Tamandua tetradactyla: one gene and its partner. The protein of the gene in region 2 interacts with the protein of the main gene of each other region in a biochemical or structural test. Links are inferred from orthologs where the notes say so. Each region holds a gene or a part of one and is shown on either strand. Other genes may lie near its edges.

Evidence for each region. The genes of interacting proteins can lie anywhere in the genome.
Region 1: the proteins of DRD2 (region 2) and NCS1 form a complex in vitro, tested with the Homo sapiens proteins (2 studies listed by BioGRID, with this or other methods). The link is inferred for Tamandua tetradactyla from reciprocal best matches to the Homo sapiens genes DRD2 and NCS1.

Annotation. Positions count from the first base shown.
Region 1 is NC_135328.1:53,088,470-53,098,639, reverse strand, and holds the start of NCS1 (neuronal calcium sensor 1), read right to left. Parts: upstream 3,878-10,170; 5' UTR 3,817-3,877; coding exon 3,753-3,816; intron 1-3,752. UniProt on the Homo sapiens protein: Neuronal calcium sensor, regulator of G protein-coupled receptor phosphorylation in a calcium dependent manner. Directly regulates GRK1 (RHOK), but not GRK2 to GRK5. Can substitute for calmodulin. Stimulates PI4KB kinase activity.
Region 2 is NC_135334.1:27,596,121-27,605,343, forward strand, and holds the start of DRD2 (D(2) dopamine receptor), read left to right. Parts: upstream 1-5,086; 5' UTR 5,087-5,172; intron 5,173-9,223. UniProt on the Homo sapiens protein: Dopamine receptor whose activity is mediated by G proteins which inhibit adenylyl cyclase. Positively regulates postnatal regression of retinal hyaloid vessels via suppression of VEGFR2/KDR activity, downstream of OPN5.

The DNA of each region.
Region 1 (10,170 bases), on a different chromosome or scaffold from region 2:
TGTGAGCATGGTGGGGAGAAGAGAAGGAGAAAGAAGGAGGGAGGGCAGGGGCTTCTGCCTCTTAGAAGAAGGCCTGAGGAGCTCCCAGAAGCCTCTAAACTGATGCAGCTCAGACCACGACAAATGAATTGAGCTTTATGAGCTTGGTTTTTCTGGACTACCGGCTGGATTCTATCTGAGGGCAGGAATTACACCTCTCTCATTCACTGCTTTATCTCGGTGTATTGCCAAGTGGGGATGGGAGTAGAGCACTGCAGGTAAAAACAAGACCCAGCTAGGATTCGGACAAACCAATCAGTGATCTCTATGCCTACTGTGTTTTTGACACAAAGGTTAGGACAGTAGGAAGTTTCCTTTGTGGGGAGATGACATTTGTCCACAAACTATATATAAGACCAGTTCAAGATGGAGCTGAATTGTGTGGTCAAAACCAACAATTATTAACAGTGATTGTGAACATATATTGACTGCCGGGTATTAAGCCCAATGCTGTGTGGGAATTATCCTGTTCATTCCTCACATCCCCTCAGAGTCAAGCATCATGACCACGCCCATTTTGCAGATTAGGAAACTGAGGCTCATGTAGGTAAGGGGACCGGCCTGTTCAATGGGGTCCTCACACCGTGGGGTACTGGGATATCAACAGCCTCACTGACAAGCTGGAAGAAAGTGGGTCAAACCTCAAAGAAATCAAACTGCCGTACATCCTTCTCACTAACCTCCTGCTGCTCCTGGATGTAGACTGTACCGGAAAGGCCAAGGATTGGGATATGGAGCACCAACAATTTTAAAAGGCTTTTCTGCAGAGAAAGCAAAACACCAGCTCTGCAGTCTTCAGCCTGAAAGATGGAGGGCTTTAGCCAAGCTGAATCTGGATGTGTCTAGCAAGGACCACACAGCTGGAACTTATAGCCCTTCTGCTTCCTCAAACATACAGAGACCACCGGGACAGTCTTTTCCATGCAGCAGAAGAATCACCACCAAGAATGGGCTCAGCACTGACACAGGCATAGACATCTGGGATGTCCATCTGGGCCCTGGGTGGTCTAGGACACCAGGTGATGCTTACTCCAGGACCCTCCAACAACTACAGTTCTCAACAGGACTCCCTGGAATCACCATCTCCACAACAAAGGATGCAAATGCCTGGGTCCCAGCCCAGACCTACTGCATCTTCATATGTGACAAGTTCTCCAGGAGAGTATGACATTTGTGAGTGTTTCCTAAGCGGCCCTTCTCTTGACCACAGACCCAGAATCCCCTGGAACAAAGAGCAAGCATCTCTGTTCTCCATTAGAAGGAAGCCCATCTGCTGGCCTTAGAACCAACAGAGTCTTTCTCTATTTTCTTGTTGGGGGACTTTCAACTCAACAAATATCTTGGGACTTACTGGATGCTAACACATGGGAGGTACAATTGTTAACCGACCAGAAAGGGGCTGCCCCGAGGGAGCCTGACTTAGCAAAAGAGACAGACAGGAGGCAATGAACCCACTACCTCTCCACCCACCCATCCCTAATAAGGGCTTCTACAGAAGGAAAAGTATCCAAGCTAAGTCTCTCCCTGGGCAAAATTGTTTCATGTCTCTGAAGGCCTTTAAAAATAGTCCAGGACACACCACATGGGCCTGTTCCTAACTAAGACTTGTTGACTCAACTTCTCTCAAAGTTAACGGACTTGCCGAGAGAGGAGGGATGGATGAAATGTCCACCTCCTCCATTCCGGAATCTACCATTGTGGGCTTGCAGCCGAAATCCAAAAGCAACACACAAGAAAAGCCCTTCCTGACTTCTCTACATGTGCTCTGAGGTCTCTGATGAGACACGGCTGGGCAGCCAAATAGAACTGAGTTCAAATTCTGACACGACCTTGTGACTGGCTGTGGGATCTTGAGCACACCACTTCGCCTATCTGAGCCTTGTTTTCCTCATCTGTAAATGAGGATAGTAACAGTACCTGCCATCTGTAGGACTGTTGAGAAGAGTCATTGTCCTAACACATGCAAAGAGCTTGGCACACGACATTCTCAATGAGCAGGACACTGGCTTCTCCTGGCTCCTGGGGCCACTCCCCTGCTCCCCACCAGGATAAATACGCCCACTGCAGCCCATGCCCCAACACTCCTGCGTAGCCCACGGGGTCCTCTGCCTCTCCTGACATGGGGCCTATCTGCAGCCTGCCTGCTGATAGTTATGGGCCATATCCAGCCTGAGCCTAAAGATGGTCCCAGCACATGTCACAGATCAGCAGCCAGACCGGAAAGGATCACCCCCAAACTTGGGGGAAAGGGTGACAGCAATAAGAACAGAGCCTCTGGTTTTCGAAGCCTCACCCCTTTGCAGATCAGTTAGTGGTTGATGAGCTCCTAGCTGCAGAATTCAACTGGAGAAGGGCCAGTGCGTCTTCCTTAGCAGATAAGCACCCACTCAGGAAAGACCCCTTTGTTCCCAGCACATGGGATGAGGGACATGGAGATGAAACATGGGCTTGGATAAACCTGCAAACGTGCCCGGAAGACCAATGCGGGTGGGGGTAGGGGCTGGCAAGGGGGTCGGCGCGGGGGTGGGAAACAGATGTTGTGCAATGCACCACCAGAAGCTACCTCCCTTGCTTCCATCAACACCCTGGGCTGGCGGTCAATCCACTGCCTCCAGTACGGATGCTGGGGAGCTGGACCCACACAGCTGCTAGGTTATGGGCTCTGAATTCCAAGCTGAGTCCAGGAGCACTGACCCCTCCCAAATCAAATACCCACGCACAGGCCCTTGAACAACACAGCCATGTTCTCCTCAAGTGCCAGCCCCATAGAAAGACAATATGGTTAGGACCCAGTGCTATTAATCCCTGGCATGCCAGCGCATCTCCAAAGAATTGTAGGGAAGGGGGCAGCCAGAGAAATTGGAGATGCAGAGGAACTGGAGAGTTGTGAAGTTGGTGCAGGTGGACACACTGGGTCTGGTTTAGAAAAGTCTGAAATTTGACAGACTCTCCTCTTCCAGGTAGTGGTTAAATGATCGGATGACCAGATCACACACGGCTTCATAAACCCATTTTGTAATTGGGCAGGTAAAGATAGAAGAGGGGAGGTGAAATTTAGGCCAGAGATGAATTCAGACTGTAAATCCCCGCAGAAAAAAGGGTGCCCAGGACCCTTCCCCACCCCAGTCGCTGCCGCCCTGAGCTCTGACAAATCTCGCCACCCCACACACACGATCCGGGGCCAGGGAGGGGGCGACAGGCCAACCTCGCAGCAGCAGTAGCAGCAGCAGCAGCAGCATCGTGATGCATGAATCACCCATCCAGCCGGGCTCGTGCCAGTCGGCTCCGCGCAGCCGAAGCCACATTGCAACCAAGGGCCCCCTCCCCGGACCACCGTCCCTGCCCCACCCCAGCCCCTTCCCACAGGTCTGCAGAGAGGGGATCCGCGGGTGGGCCGGGGCTGTCCCACCGGTCCTGGTGGGGGGTGGGGGGTGCACTCTAGCACACTGACAGGCAACACGCGTCCAGAGTTGGGGGAGGGCGGGGGCTAGAACAATAGGGCCAGGTAGGGGGCTGGGGGCGCGGGCCCCGGAACCTCGGACGGGTCCCGCGTGGAGGCAGGGGATGGGACGACAGGAAGAGGGCTGCGGCGTTGAGAGGGGTGTAGAGCGGGAGGAGCGGTGAGGGTTTGGGGGTGATGGGGCGATGGGGGAGGGGCGCGAGGGAGAGCAGGAAGCGCGGGGGTGGCGGGTCGCTAGCGCATACACACTCACAGTAGGTTTTCCTGGTCAGCTCCTCCACAACTTCGGGCTTCAACTTGCTGTTGGATTTCCCCATCCTCGGCGGCCGCGGCCCCCGCCCCCCGGGCCGGACCCCGTCAGGGCGCCCAGTGGGAGCGGCTCGGCCGGCGCGGGCAGGGTCCGGCCGCGGGCGGGGCGCGCGGAGGGTTCGGCGGGCCGGCCGGGGGCCGCGCCTTTGTCTGCGCGGTGCCCGCGCGGCCCTGGCGCGGGGCTCCGGCGAGCTGCGATGCGCTGCTCACTGCTCCTCGGCCGCCCTGGGCTCAGCGCTGGGCCGGGGACGCGGGGCAGCTGCTCGGCAGGCCCGGGCGTGGGCGCCGGCCCTCCCGCCCTCTCCGGGCGCCGCGGCGCGGAGCTGCGCTGGGCTCGGCGCCGACCCGGCCGGCCGCTGTGTTGCCGCGGTCGTCCCTGGTTACTGGGCTCGGCGGCACATGCTCGCTACTGCGCTCCCTCGCGCCGCCGCCCCAGTGCTCCCCGCCTCCTGCCTCCCGCCCGCACCGGCGCGCCAGGAGATGGACGCGGAGCCGCCACTCAGCAGCCGGCGCCTCCTCCCGCCCCGCACCCGCTCCGCCAGGCCCTCTGCATGCAGAACGGGGGGGGGGGGGGCTCCGCAAGGATGGAGCCAGGGCCGGCAGAGGGGCACCCCCTTTCCCCCTTTCGTCATTACATCTGGGGGTGCGGGAAGAAGATCACACCCGCCACCCCTCTCCTCGGAGCGATCTTCCGCCCTTTAGCCCCCTCTGAGGGGGAGAGGGGCGGGGAAAGATCTGACAGGAATGAGGCCAAGTCCCTGCCCGGTGAAATCCATTCATTCCACACTATCCGTGGGGCTCTGGGACACCGCGGCAGACAATCCCGAAGGGGTCCTGGTCCTCACGGGGCTGGGGGCCTGAGGGCACGGCTACGCAAGCTGCGGCCTGCATGGTGAGGCACCTACCCGCGGCCTCGGAAAGGTGACCTCCATCTCGAGATGGTGACGGGAGTATGGTGGGGAAAATGTTCCTTCACCAAAAACCTTGAGAAGGGAGTGAGGACCGAATGCCCGAGGTTCAGGGCTCCAGAGAGAAGTGGGGTGGGCGTGTTGTGTGTGTGATATGATATGTGCCGCAGAAGGCAGGGCCTGGTAAGCCCCTCTCTCTTCGAGGAGGTGGGCCTCTGTCCAGGGGAGTGGATGAAAGGACTTACCAGGGGCCTGACAGGGTTGGATCTGGCCTCTGAGTTGGAGGTACGCTCAGAGGGCAGGAGCTGAAGGGAAGCGGGGGTGCAGGGGGTGATTGTCCAGGGTACCACCAGGATAGACAGAAGCAAGTGGGGCAGAGGATGGCAAGAGAGCCCCTCATGGCCTTCCCTGGCCACCCCATTTAAATGTCTACATGTTGAGACCTTTCCTATCCTCTTTCCCTGCTTTATTTTTTTCTCCCCTTAGCAACGATCACAAACTGAGGACATATTTTATTTACTCATTGTCTTTTTGCCTGTCTCCTCCACTAGAATCTGAGCTCCATGAGGCTCTAATGATTCTTGTCTTCTCTCTAGTTATATTTCCAGGGCCTAGAAGACCACCTGACATGCAGTAGGTGTCAAAACCCTTCTGAGCATGAATGAGGAACTGAGGAAGGAATGACAATGGTGCAGGAGGTACAGAGTATGTGGGAAGTAAGACCACTCTCAGGTCTGCAACAGCGAAGGATGAGGCAATGGGCAAGTGGCCCCTGCTGTTTGGAGACTCAGGAGAGCTAGGGAGACAGAGAAACCCTGACCAGGGTCGCCAATGCTTTCAGCCTTAAACACCCCTCCTACCTCCAAATGTGCTTCGCTCCAGCTTTTCCCCTGAAGGCCTGGCCTGGGCGGGGGCCTGGACTTCTAGACTGAGGAGGCCGGAGCCCCTGCTCCAAGAAGGCTTCCAATGGGGACAGACTTGCTGGCCTGTGCCAGCTCATTCTGAAGCGGTAGCTAGGCCCACAGTTGAGGGATCTGGTTTAGATTTGGGAGCAGGTGTCCCAACTGTGAGGACGAACTCAAACCCCTTAGTTGGCCAAGTCAGCATGAGCATGCTGCCTGGGAGGAGGGGGAGCTGGCTGGAGGCCAAGGGCTGCTGGGAAGACTGTGATATCAGGAGCAATTAAAGTTCTATAGCATTCCAGGTAGGTGTACATTCTGTATTTCTTGCCTGCTGCTCATGTGCCAGGTGTTGTGCTGGGCAGTGGGGCACTGCAGTGACCAACATGGTCTGTTTCGTCTGCGAGCTCATAGTCTAGGGGCAAATGGACCTGTTGGAGCCTTCACACACAAGCAATCATGTAATTACACTGGTGATAAATGTCACCAAGAGAACAGAGGGGGCACTGGGGGAACACACCCAGGAAAGCACCTGTCAGAGGGAGTCAGGGAGACTTAACAGATTCATTTGTTCATTCAGCAAATATTTACTAAACATCTACCGTGTGCCAAGCTGAGTCCAAGTTCTGGGGATCCCTATCATCAATTACAGACCTTGCAATTTAGTGAGGCAAGACAATATAAATAAACAAAATGCATGAGTAAAATATATAGTATACCAGAGGTGAAAAATTAAAATAAAGTAGGAAGAGGGTTGGGAAGTACAAGGACAGGAGGGTGTGAAACTTTAGATGGGACCGCCTCACTGGGCAGGCGCTATTTGCACAATGACCTGAAAGAGGTGGAGGGGAGCTGAGGGATATGCATTGCCCGGGCTGTGCATTGGCATCCAGCTGGCCATCTATGGTCTCAAAGAAAGGCATAAGTGAGGTTGGGGTTCAGAGGGCAAAGCAGAGAATTAGGAGATGAGATCAGACTCCAGGAATCTTTCTTGTGTTTAGCCAGATAACTCAGGCTATTGCATGAACAACTGACTCCAGGCAGGCCCAGGATAAGAAACAGGACCTGCTGGAGGCCATTACATCATCCAGAGAGGAAATGGTGGTGGACAGGACCAGGATGGCGGTAGTTAACACTGACAGAACTGGTAGATTTGGAAGATAGAGCCTAATAGACTGGATGGAGGGTGGGGGTGGGTAGGGGGCAGGTGAAGAGACACTGGAGTCCAGGACAATGCCAAGGTTTTTGTCCTGAACAACTAGGAATTTCCATTTGCTAAAATGGGGAGTGGACAGTTTTGGAGACAGAAAGAGGAGAGGTCTTGTTCTGGACATATGAAGTATGAAATGCTTGTTAGATACCCAAGTGGAAATATTGAAGAAATAGGTGATACGGGAGTCTGGAGGAGGGAGCTGAATAGAAGCTGGCCAGGCAAGGGTGGCCAAAATCTTCCAGGCCATGAGGACAGCATGTGGGAAGGTACTGAGTCTTGGGACCTGGCTTTTGACCCAAAGCCTCCCTGCCCGTTTGGGCTGAAAATGCCTCTGCCTGAGCTGCCTTCAACAAAGGGCTCAGATCAACTCTGATGCCCTGGTCACTGTCCTAAGAGTAGTGGTTTCAGTTCTGTCTGCCACACAGGAGTTTGTTTTTTCAGCAAAGAAATGTGCACAGCCAGTCTTCAACCAAGGGTGACACGACCAGATTTGCACATTGAGAAGATTGCTCTGGCTGCGGTGTGGATCGGAGGGCACAGGGTGAAGACAGAGAACCCAGTTGGGGGCTGTTCTCAAACATGTGGGAGGCTTGGGCAGGAGCGGCCTTTGTCGAGATGGAGAAGTGGAGGAGTCAGGGAACTTGAGTGGCAATTGACTAGATGGTGAGGGCAGGTGGGGGGGTGAGAAAGGAAAAGCTGAGTGCAACTGCATGGCATGGGGGCTTCAAGGATGGCTCTCTGGGGAGGAGGAGTCAAGGGCAGCTTCCTGCTGAGGTTGGGGACCTGGTGGGAAGGGTCTAGGATGGCTCATTGGGGGTGGCAAGGATGGATCCCTGGTGGCTGTTACTATCACCTGGGGAAGGGATGCATTCTTGGGATAGGGTCCCCTGAGTTGGGCTTGAATGTCATAAACTCAAATGTTGGGTCTGAGATGTCTGTGAGATACACAAATAAGGATGTTGGATTTTATGTTTAAAAAACAAAGCAGGTTATAAATCAGTGTAAATAGGCTAATCAAATTAAATATATAGACGTGTTGAAAACAGTCTGAAGGATATATCTCGAGGTGTTATCAGTTATTTCCAGTAAATTAAGATTACAGGTAATTTTTATTTTCTTCTCTTCTCCGTATTTTATATACATTGCTTTCTGGGAGGAGGGGGAGCTTTGCTTTTAAATAAGAAGAATAATTTATCAGATCATTTTGCACATCTGTGATAGCCAAGGAAGCGCCTACCTGAGTCGCCCAGCTGTGACCCCTCAGAGAGCTTGATGATGACCCAGATTGCCAGGCTCCACCCTAGACAGAGTGAACCTGAATGAGGTGGGGGTATGCCTGGGAATCTGCTTTTAACCCAGCCTCTAGCTCTCCTCCTTGCCTTTCAGTAAAGGTCTCTTCTCCTAGTGTATAAACTCATCTGGGAGAGTGGCCCCATAAACTTATTCAGTAGTCCTTCCATAGGGGAACAAATTGTACACATGTGGTGGGTGGAGCCCTGAATTAAATCTTCCTTTAGGTCGCAGCATTCTGGGCCTCACCGACCACCCCTGCCAGAACAACAGCTCCAGCCTGGATCTCTCTTCCCCTATCTTAGTCTCGTATCCAGTGATTCAGGGGTGTCTACATTTTGGGGGCCCCATAAACACTTCAAACTCATCAGGCCTGGAACATAACTCATCACTTCCCATAAAGAACCCTTCTCTGCCTGGGCAAATGGCCCCTTCTATATCCAGTGGGTCCAGCCAGAAATATGAAACATCCTTAGCCCCACCCTCTTCCAAGGGATAGCACACCCCCCCACACATCCATTCAACCATACCTAGTTCATTGGAATTCATTCCCTAAATAGCCCTCAAGGCTGAACGCTTTTGTCCTTCCCCACCAGAACCATTCTAATCCAGCCACTATTACCTCTCAAAGCCCAACTACCACGCAGCCACCTCAGAAGTCTCCCCATAGCCTTGCTTGGCCCCTCTCAAATCCTGTGTTCTTAACACAGCCAGAATGAGCTTTTCCCAGCACAAACCTAACCCCTTTTTTCCCCATTTAAGCTTCTCATTGCCATCTGGAGAAAGCCTTGGCTCTTTGTAGGGCTTACAAGCCCCCAGCTGACCTGACAGAAACCACCTTCTCTCCTGCCTCACCTCTTGATTTCTCTGAAGCCAAACTCTCAGCCTCCAGGCCTTTGCAGAGGCTGTTTCTCTCTGCCTGACCTGCTCTCCCTGCTTCCCCTGTCCTAGCTAACACATCGCCTCTTCCAAGGAGCCTTTATTGGACGCCCCACCACCACCAGGTGAGTTCAAGCTCCCCTCTTATATACCTGCCTGTAGCACTTTTCTGTTTCCCAGGTCTGGGTAGGAACAGGGATGCAAATGGAGGATGCCCAGGATCCTCCTGCTAGGAGTGGGGGTGGGGGTGCTGCAACTTGGCCCCAGAAGGAGTGGGAGGAGGAAGAGGGGTCCCACTGAAACCCCAGCGTGGAGCACAGTGTCCTAAGGCTGGGGTTCCGTGCAATGGGTTCTCCATGTGGCTCTTGGCTGATCACTTTCCCATTTTATAAACTAATCTGGGGGGAAGGGTTTATAAAGATAAAAAACTCTTGTACAAGCACATGACAAAGAGTTATATATCTTTAATCTTTTAAGAGCTTTCTAAACCAATAAGAAAAATATGAGTGCCTCAATAGAAAGTCGGGGAAAGGAACTTGTGTTAGTCTGTAAGCTGCTGGAATGCAATATACCAGAAATGGAATAGCTTTTTAAAAGAGAAACTTATTAAGTTGCAAGTTTACAGTTCTAAAGCCATGAAAGTGTCCAAATTAAGGCATTGAGGGAAAGATAACTTATCTCCAAAGAAAGGGCCGATGAAGTTCCAGGTTTCTCTCTCAGCTAGAAGGGCACATGGTGATGTCTGCTAGCTTTTTTTCCTTCATTTCATAAGACTTCCCTGGGGGTATTTTCCTTTTGCTCCAAAGGTCTCTGGCTGCATGGGATATTGGGTTCTGGTGACTCTAAAGCTTTTTCCAAAATGGTTCCCTTTTAAAGGGCTCCAGTAAGCAACCCCACCTTGAATTCATGGAGACTCATCTCCATGGAAACCATCTAATCAAAAGTTACCACCCACAATTGGGTGGGTCACATCTCCATGGGTGGTAAAAAAGATACCACCCAGCAATATTGAATGAGGATTAAAGGATATGGCTTTTATGGGGTACACAACAGATTCAAATCAGCACAGACTTGAACAGGCAATACAAAAAGAATAATTGGAAATGGTATCTGAAAGAGAGTTTTTGAGGAGCTCAAAACAAATTAAAAAAAAAAAAAGAATATGCAGTATTG
Region 2 (9,223 bases):
GCAGCACAAATAGCAGCAAATTTCCAGGAGCAGCATAGCAGAGTGTCTGATGCTGGAAGTGGGGAAGGGACTATCCGGTGCCCTGTATTAAATGAGCTCCCATAGTTCAGTTTCCGGGGGACTGCTGCTCGGGCTGGATTTTGGTTGAAGATTAAGTGTCTAGCCCTTTCGTTCCTGTTTTACCAGCCTGGTTCTTTAATCATCCCCTTGATTTTGGGAGCTATTACAATAGTTTCAATGAATTGCTTTTCTGCTTAAACTGCCCAGAGCTGTTTCTGTCTCTTACATCTGTGTTTCCTGATGGATACAGAGACTGTTGGAGCAAGCTGTGGCATGAGCAGCTGCGAGGTATAGTCCTCAAGTCCTCAGAGGCAGGACACACACGCAGAGGAGCAGGTTGTCAGGCAGAGAGTTCCAAATTCTGCTGTTTAGTGTATAGACTAAAAGCATCTCTTCTCCTTATTTTCTCATGCTCAAATGAAGAAAGTTTGAAAGAACTTCACAACTGAGAGCTGGACAGCTCAGTTCCATCCTACACCCCAGTGGCTGAATGGTCCTTGCATTTGCAGATGACATGAAAACTATCATCCTGGTTTCATTGCCTGTTCCCATCCTCTGGAAGGGGAAGCCCCTTGGTAATCTTTCCAGTGCTCTCCCAAACTAATGACGTTACTGACATCACAAGGCTCTCAGAAGCTAAATGAGATAACAGGTGAGAAAGTGCTTTATTATCTATAGCAGAAGCTGACGAAATCCAAGACAGTACTGATTAGACTTCAATACAACTGAAGATGGTGTGTATAAATTGTTTCCTAAAGTCAAACCACTTTCACACCTATACAAATGGTAGTTCTTAGATATTTTATTTTATTTTATTGTATATATTGGTGACTGCAGTGGCCACCGATTTGCAAGGTGTATAATTTTATGACCTCTTCCCATCAAAGAATTAAATAAATTTGCTGTATGGATAACTGCACTCTAATTGATCTGTTTTGTAACTGGAGAATTATATAATAGAATTTCTTAAAGTGGGTCACACCTGTATTCTCTGTTGTTCCAGAAGAGGAGGATGCAAGCAACAATATAAATGTCCACTTCACAGTGATGTGCAAGACCAATGCATTCTACCAGTGAGGAAATAATTCTTTAAGAGTGAATTACAAACTGGGTAGATGGAAACACTAGTGGTCAATGAAAGGGAGGGGTAAGGTGTATGGTATGTATGAGCTTTCCTTTTTTTTTTTTAATCCCTTTTTCTGGAGTGATGCAAATGTTCTAAAAAATGATCATGGTAATCACATCACCGATGTGATGATATTGTGAGCCATCGATTATACACCATGTATAGAATGTATGTGTGTGAAGATTCTCAATTAAAAAAAAAGTACATTAAGAAAAAGAGTGAATTACACATGCAAATGTCAAAACTCTCAAGTAACTCTCACTGCACTCCTGGCTTGGTCAGACAAAGTGTCCTTATGCCCATGCTTTGGGAAAAATCCTCTCCCTCCCCATCTCTCCCTCAGGACTATAAGCCTAGTATATCTTCAGTTCCTTAAATGGAGTATCTTGAAAGCAGTAAGCAAGGTTTCTGCCCTTCTGTAAGATGTTCTGTGCTTTGAGGGAAATAATAAAGGTATAAAGGGCAGAGTTCATTTTCTTTTTTTTCCACACCTCCTCTGACCCAGGTGGATGACCCCCTGTTCTAGTTTGCTAGCTACCAGAATGCAATTTACCAGAAATGGAATGGCTTTTAAATGGGGGAATTTAATGAGTTGCTAGTTTACAGTTCTAAGGCCAAGAAAATGTCCCAATTAAAGCAAGTCTATAGAAATGTCCAACCTAAGGCATCCAGGGAAAGATACCTTGGTTCAAGAAGGTCGATGAAGTTCAGGGTTTCTTTCTGAAGTGGAAGGGCACATGGTGAACACAGTCAGGGTTTCTCTCTCATCTGGAAGGGTACATGGTGAACATGGCATCGTCTGCCAGCTTCTTCTCCTGGCTTCCTGTTTCATGAAGCATTTCGTTCTTCATCTCCAAAGGTCACTGGCTTGTTGACTCTGCTTCTCATGGCTATGTCGTTCTGCTCTCTCTGAATCTCCTATTCTCCAAAATGTTTCCTCTTTTATAGGACTCCAATAAACCAAGCAAGATCTACCCAAATGGGTGGAGACATGTCATCACCTAATTCAGCTTAACAACCACTCCTGACTAAACCACACCATCCAGGGAGATGATCTGATTAGTTTCAAACATACAGTATTGAGTAGGGATTATTCTACCTTTATGAAATGGGATTTTGATTAAAACATGGCTTTTCTAGGGGGCATACTTCCTTCCAGACCAGCAAACCCCCCTAGTGTCCCCAGAGTCATTTGCAAATGGGATAAGAACACCCTAGTTCAAAAAGTTGTTATTTTCCTTTAATCCCCCTGATTATATTGCAATATGGCTCTTTATCCCCATTTTGCAGTTGAGGAAACTGAGGCTCAAAAACATTCAGAACTTTCCCAAAGATACAGAGTGGGGACTTGACCACAGTCTGGTGCATCTCCAGAAGTGCTGCTTACCTCACCCTCTTCTGCCTCCTGACTCCTCAGATAAGTGCCTGTTGCTGTGGAATAATATGTGGCAGCCTGTGTCTCTCTGTGGGTGCATCCTCCTTTCTATGCCCCAGCCATCCCTCATTTTCCATCTCGGAGGGCAGTCCTTAGAGTAGAAGAGGGGATTATATTTCTCCCTTACTGTCTGTTTGCTCAGTTCTTTCTTTCCTTATTACAATGGGTTAACAAAACCCCTACCGACTTCAAAACCCATCCTTAACCCCTACTCCATCTTCAACAATGAAAAGGGTAGCAATAAAGGTCTGAGTTGGCTTATCAGGAAGAACTTGACTCTGGGGCTCTGGAATATACAGATGAGGCCGAGGCCCCCTTTCTGGAAAGCTATAAGGGACACCCTACTCCCACCCACGTGGGCTGGGTTGTTCTGCCTGGGGGCAATGGGAGGCTCTCGATGCCCCCCACAGGTTCCTGGCAGCCGGGGAGGTGGGAGCCTGCAGTGCAGCCGCGTGCCTGGCCGCAGCTGCTCCTGTCACCCATCACCCCATGCATCTGTTTGCAGTGCCGCCTGTTTGAACAGCGAGGCATTTGCTAATTGAAAATGAAAAGATCCATCCGTCTCACTCGCAGCGGCATGAAATCCACTCAGCTGTGCAAGACTGGGGTAAAAAAGGCAGTGTAAAGCCACCGTGTCCTTGGGCCTCCTGACTGAGCCAGGCTACCCTCCTTTGCTCAGAGCAACTGGGGTCAGCCAGGGGTCACACATACTCAGTTTGTCTAACGCTTCCACTTCTGTTGTCTTCAGTGTAGCTGAAAAAAATAGATGTTAGTAGCCTGGAAATAAAGACAGGGAAACTGAGAGTCAGAGAGCTTAAATAATGCAGCCAAGATGACACAACTAGTAGGTGCTGAGGCAGGATACCAGCCTACGTCCTCTGATCTGGTCCAGTAGGAAGTCCACCTTGTCTCTAGGCTGATGTAGAGGCACTGAATCGGGAGGCACCAAGTCCCTCCTTAAGTGGATTAAATCTTAGAATGAAGATCCAAGGGTATAGGAGGGGAACCCTATATTCAACCGTATCTCTAATGTCTATTACTCTAAAAGCAAATATGGAAACAACAGCACCGAAAAAAAAAAACAAAAAAAAAACCCGCTCCAATGCAAACAAACAAGAACAAAGCAAATATGGCAAAATGTTTAGATTCCAGATCATCTCCATCAAGCTTGTGAGGTACAGGCCAGGATCCGCAGGATAGAGCCAAACGCTTGGGGAGGGGGCGAGGCTCATGCCTACTTACAGCCTCTCCCTCAGGGCCTCAGGAGAGCTAAGTGTGAGAAGTGCTGGTTTGCACCTCAGGAGATGGGGCCTGGCCCACCACTGGATCTCTGTGGGATTTGGAAGGTCATGCCATCTCTCTGGGCCCAAGTTCCCCCTCTGAAGCCATTTCCATAATTATGCGGGTCACTGGAGGAAATACTGAGACAAATTTTATCTTGTGGCTCTGGGTGACAGTTTGGCCACTCTGCGAACTGGTCAGGTTTTCGGGGTGCTGGCCCCCCTACCTGGAATGCTGTCAGTGCCCTGCCCCTGTGAAAAGCCTCCCTCCTTTGTGCTGAGATCTGCTCCAGGCATTTCCCCGTGGGTCTCCACTCTGGATTAGCAGGGCATCAGGACAGGGGCCTGGTTTTCTTCCTCTCTGTGAGCCCAACAAAGAAGAGATAGTCAACTAACTGCTGAAGAAGAAAGAAAAGGGAAAAAAGGGAAGAGGAGCAGCCCAAATTACCCTGGACAGAGCACAGCAGTAGGTCAGCGTCCCCTGGAGTCAAATATGAACTGGAGTCCCGGAGGCTCTCTGAATTTTGAATTACCACCTTAGGTCAACTCCAAGCAGGCTTTTCCTCTGAAAGAGTAAAGCAACAGAAGTGACCACAGGGATTCCAAGGACAAAAGTCGGAAAACGGACCCTGGACCTCTCCTACTACTCTTCCATCCCAGCGCCTCCCCGCACCCTATGCTCCGACTCCTCAAAGGAGGAAACAGACGAGTTCAGGAGAGTGAGGATGCTCGACGAGTAGGCCATAGAGGGCTCGGTTCCGAACGGCACCTCTGGGCCACCTGACCTGCTCAAACTGGGAACTACGAAGCCGCTAGCCACTTCCTCCAGGTCCAGGTGCACGCAGCTGGCCGACAAACCCGCGCGAGTGGGGCGGGGCCTGGTCCCAGGGGCGGGGCCCGGAGCGCCTCGTGGCCAGCGCGGCCCCGCCTCTCCCCAGCGCTCCCCGCGCTCCGGGCGCGGCGGAGCTGTCGGACCACAGTGCTGGAGCTGTCGCCTCCCGTGCGCCCCGCGCCGCCTCCGCGCCGCCCGCCGCCCAGCCCCGCCCCGCCCCGCCCCGCCTCGTCCCGCCGCGGCCGTCCACTGCTCCCCGCGGGCGGGAGCCAGCCGAGCGGCTGCCCGCCCGGGCTCTAAACGGCGCGGCGCGACCAGGGGGTCCGAGAGCGGCGGCCCCGGACGGCTGCCGAGGGGCGGCCGCGTGTGGATGCGGCGGGAGCCGGAAGCCTCGAGCAGCCGGCGCCGCCTCTGCCCCCGGGCGCCTTATGGCTTGAAGGTAAGCGCCGGCGGCAGGAGAGGCGCAGCGGTCGAGGCGGGTGGGCAGAGAGAGAAGAGCGCTCCGAGGGCGGCACGGCCGGGACCAGAACTTTGTCCACTACTCTCCTGTCGTCTGCCCGTGGCGCCCCGCATGCGGTCGCGCTCTCCACGGACTTTCCGTCGGGCGGCTTTCCCCGGGGAGTTCCGGAGCCCGGTGGCTGCCCGCAGGGTCCGGAGCCCCTCTCACTGGCTCTCGGTAGTTTTCAGCCCCGCTTGGACGGGGAATCTCACCCGGGGGACAGGCGGGCTCGCGGAGAGCGAGCTCCCCGAGCCGCAGTAACCGAGCATCTCCCGCTGGCACTTTACTGCCAGCTCCCGAGTCCGGCACCCCAGGGCCAGCGGCCAGAGTTTCCGATTGCTCAGGAGGGAAAAGGGTTGTTCTCGGCAGCTCCTCGTTCTAGCGACTTGAGATTTCTCCTAAGGGCAGAAGCCAGAGATGGGGGAGAAGCCAGTTTTGACGTCGCCTTCCCACTCCCTAGCCTGTCCGCTGTCCTTGGGTTCTGATTCTTCGTTCTCCTTCCTCTTCTCTGTCTGAGATCTAGTCGGGGAAGGAGTCTGGGGTTTCAGACCCAGCTCGGCCTGGGAGTGGGAGTGAAGGTGGTGGGGGCAGTAGCGGAGGGTGACCGTTCGGCTCTGGAATGGACCAAGAGCCCGAAAGGGTGGTGTGCGGAGACAAGCGGCAGCTCTAAGCGCCACACAGAGCGCGTCCCCCATCGCTGTCTGCGGCGGGCAGCTTGGGAGCGGTTCCTTTGGAAAATCAGAGGTAAGACGGTGCGCGCGCGTCTACAAACAGGCTTCGCCATGGGCACGAGTCATCGGGCTGCAGCCCCGGAGGGACAGGGCCTTGCTTTCTAACCACAGGAACTCTCTCTGAGCGAGTCACTCCTGCCCCACCTGATACTCCACTACTTTCTGTGCTGGGGGCTCCTGAGATTGGGTGAGATGAAAAGCTCTCCTGTGGACCTCTTTCCCCACCCTCCCAGCCTTCTCCAGGTCTCACCATATCCGGATTTAGACCAGGCTACAGACCTTCCAGGCTAATCTTTGCTCCTTCCCAAGGAACTAGATGTTCAATGATTCAACCCTCTTTGGATGCAAATACTTGTGCTTAGCCCTGAATCATCCTGCAGCATTAGTATAACTGGAAAAAGAAATGATAATCCTCATCTTTTCCCCTGTTACTGCTGTTTGATGAGGGTGGGCAGAGAGACGGGCGGTGGTGAATGTGACCAATTTCAAGAGAATTCACTTAGATTGTTTGCTGGGTCCCAGTCTCCTGCCTTTGACTTCTCTGTTTGGTGTTCAACATTCTTGGCACATTTGACTGCGGGGGGGTTGGTGCTTTCTCTGAACTCAACCTTGTGACTGGAGAAAGGTTTGGGGAGCAATTGGATCCAGAGCCATTTGGGGCCATGGCATCTCAGGCCTTGTTCTCTTGAAGAAGATTCTCAGTTCCTTCTGCCTTCCCTGCACAGCCTGGGGGTGAAAGGTGTCTGGAAAAGGGGGATTCTGATTTGTTCTAGAGGTTTAAGAAAACATTTCTCCAAATGTTTTTTTTTTCTCCCGTGAACTCTATGCATCTAAATCATCCAGGAAGCTTGTTAACAATGCATACTTTTGTTTTTTCCATGGCTCTACTAGATGAGGATCTCAAACTGAGTTCCAGGGATTTATATTTTAACAAGATTTCTGGGCGATTCATATGCACAGTGGGTTAAGGGATCTATTCTTTTTAAAATTCAGAACTTCAGATTAGAGGTAGCATGATTAGGGTATTTAATTGACCCCTTGCCTCCTGAATTTATATATGTTAAATTCTTCAGCCATAGGATTGTTGGTGGAGAGACCAGTCCCTTAATTCAATCCCTGTACTGCTATGAAGGATGCAACTAAATCTCTTCTGTTCCTTCAAGATCCTCTTGGGCTTTTCATCTTTCAAAAACATATGTGTGTGTGTATATATATATAGTTTGCTTTGTTTTTTACCTTTCTAAAAATCACCAACATGGCTTCAGGTTGATTTGAGTAAATACTAACTCCCCCCTTATTCTGGGGGGACTCAGTACATTCTTTGTACCCTACCCCTTCTGGGGAAATTACTGTCTTTCGTTGTGTATATGCTGTGGTTTGTTAACCCAGCCACTCCTGAAATACCAAGGAGTGATTAGTTCAACCTGGTAGCACGTCATGTTCCCCAAGGCTGGAAGCCACTTGTGCCCTGCTGGCAGTGACATATTGATTGTTTTGATTTGGCTCTGGTGCTCCATAAGCTAGAAAGCTTGCAATGGATGAATAGGCCAGGAATGATGCTTACTTATGGCTAATCGGTCTTCTACCCCTGCCTTCAAGGGTGGGTTGTTTCTGTCTATAACATGCAATTATAATTTTGAGAATGATGAAAGAGAACCCAATCTTGCAAGAAACCCTTCTGTTCCTCCTCCTGTAACATGGGAAATAAAGGGAAGCTCATGATCTCATCAGAAATCCATGCTACATACTCCTGAGATTGACTGTTGAAGCCAGGCTGGTCTGAGGTCATCGTTCTCTGAATAAACCGGGGAAAGGCAGGTGGGCTCTGTCCTGGAGAGAGCCGACTCCATCTCATTTGTAAGTGAAAGTTGCATTTTGGTGCTGAGGAAGAAGCATGGCTGTGAAGATAGCCCAGAGAGAGTGTGGTAGGGGTGGGGAGCTGGGCCTTATGATAAGAACTCCTTGGGTCAGCCTTGCCCCTTCCAGTAATTCACATTTTGTGACCTCTCACTTCCCTTTTCTCCCTACCTTATGAATCTCCTGCAGTGAAGGTGTTTCAGCAGCTAGGAAGGGAGAAGAGAATCAGACTTGAGGTTTTATGATGCCAGGACCCAAGCCATATTTGTGATATGTCCCAGACTCAAGTTGTGTATCAGTAGGTTACAGTGACCTAAGAGCTGAGTCTTAAGTAAATGGATATGACTGCCCAGGCAGTCACATTTCCCTGAGATACAATTTATAGGACTTTAGGTGCTTGGATTACTTGGCCCCTCAGAGGTCATCCTGGATGCCTGGGACACCAAACAGGGCAGCTGTACCCTTAGTCTAGAAATATGGTGGTCTCTTTCTTGTTATTACTCCCCAAAAGGAGTGAAATGAGCTTTCTAGTTCCAGGACACCAGGATTGGATTAAGTGAACAAAGCTTCTCTATCCTGCGGGGACTCTGCATAGAAGAAGAGCATCCTGCATGTAGGAAGTGCTTGGAAACCACAGGCAGCAAGAAGGGTTCAGCTTGGTTCAGCTTCTCAGCAGGCACCCTCCCCTGTACATAGCCCGTCATATTGCTGAACCCCAGCACCATTTGTCCCTGCCACTCAGTAGGGCTTTGAGATTATGTGTAAGCACTCAGCTCTCCAGGATACTAAATGGAGCCACCAAGGGTGTGCAAGTTGCTTATTTACCAATTCTGGGTGGCAGACTGATATTAATTATCTCCAGCCTCCTTAATTACTCTAACAGTGTTAGAAGCCAATGTTAATACACCCCTGCCTCTCACCTTCTCCCATCACCATACAATTGAAGATTTCTTTCTTATTTTTTTTAGCAATAGACTCATATTATCTAAATTCATGGGCTTGGAAAATAGCTTGATTATAGTGTCAGTGCATGTGGGCGGAGGAGTAAAGATACAAGATTCAGCCATTTGGTTTGCTTCTGTTTGGGTCCGGAAAAAGGAGAGAACCTTGCCCTTGTGACCTGCACATTTTCCCTTTTCTTATCCCTTTCACCTCGATCTGATAAATGGGTTAAATCGACACACTTGGCAGCTGGGATGCCCCTTGGGACGGTGCAGCTTCTTCTCTCCCTAGGAGACAGGGGAACTGCTTCTTTGCCGAAGATATACAAGGAGGAGCCAGAGATGACGCACTTGGGCCTGGGCTCTCCCTCCTCCCTGGGATAGAAGAGGCTGTGCTGCTGTGTTGTTCCAAACCCAGACCTGGAAGCTGCTGGGTGGTATGGGGGAGGTGGGGGCAGTGCA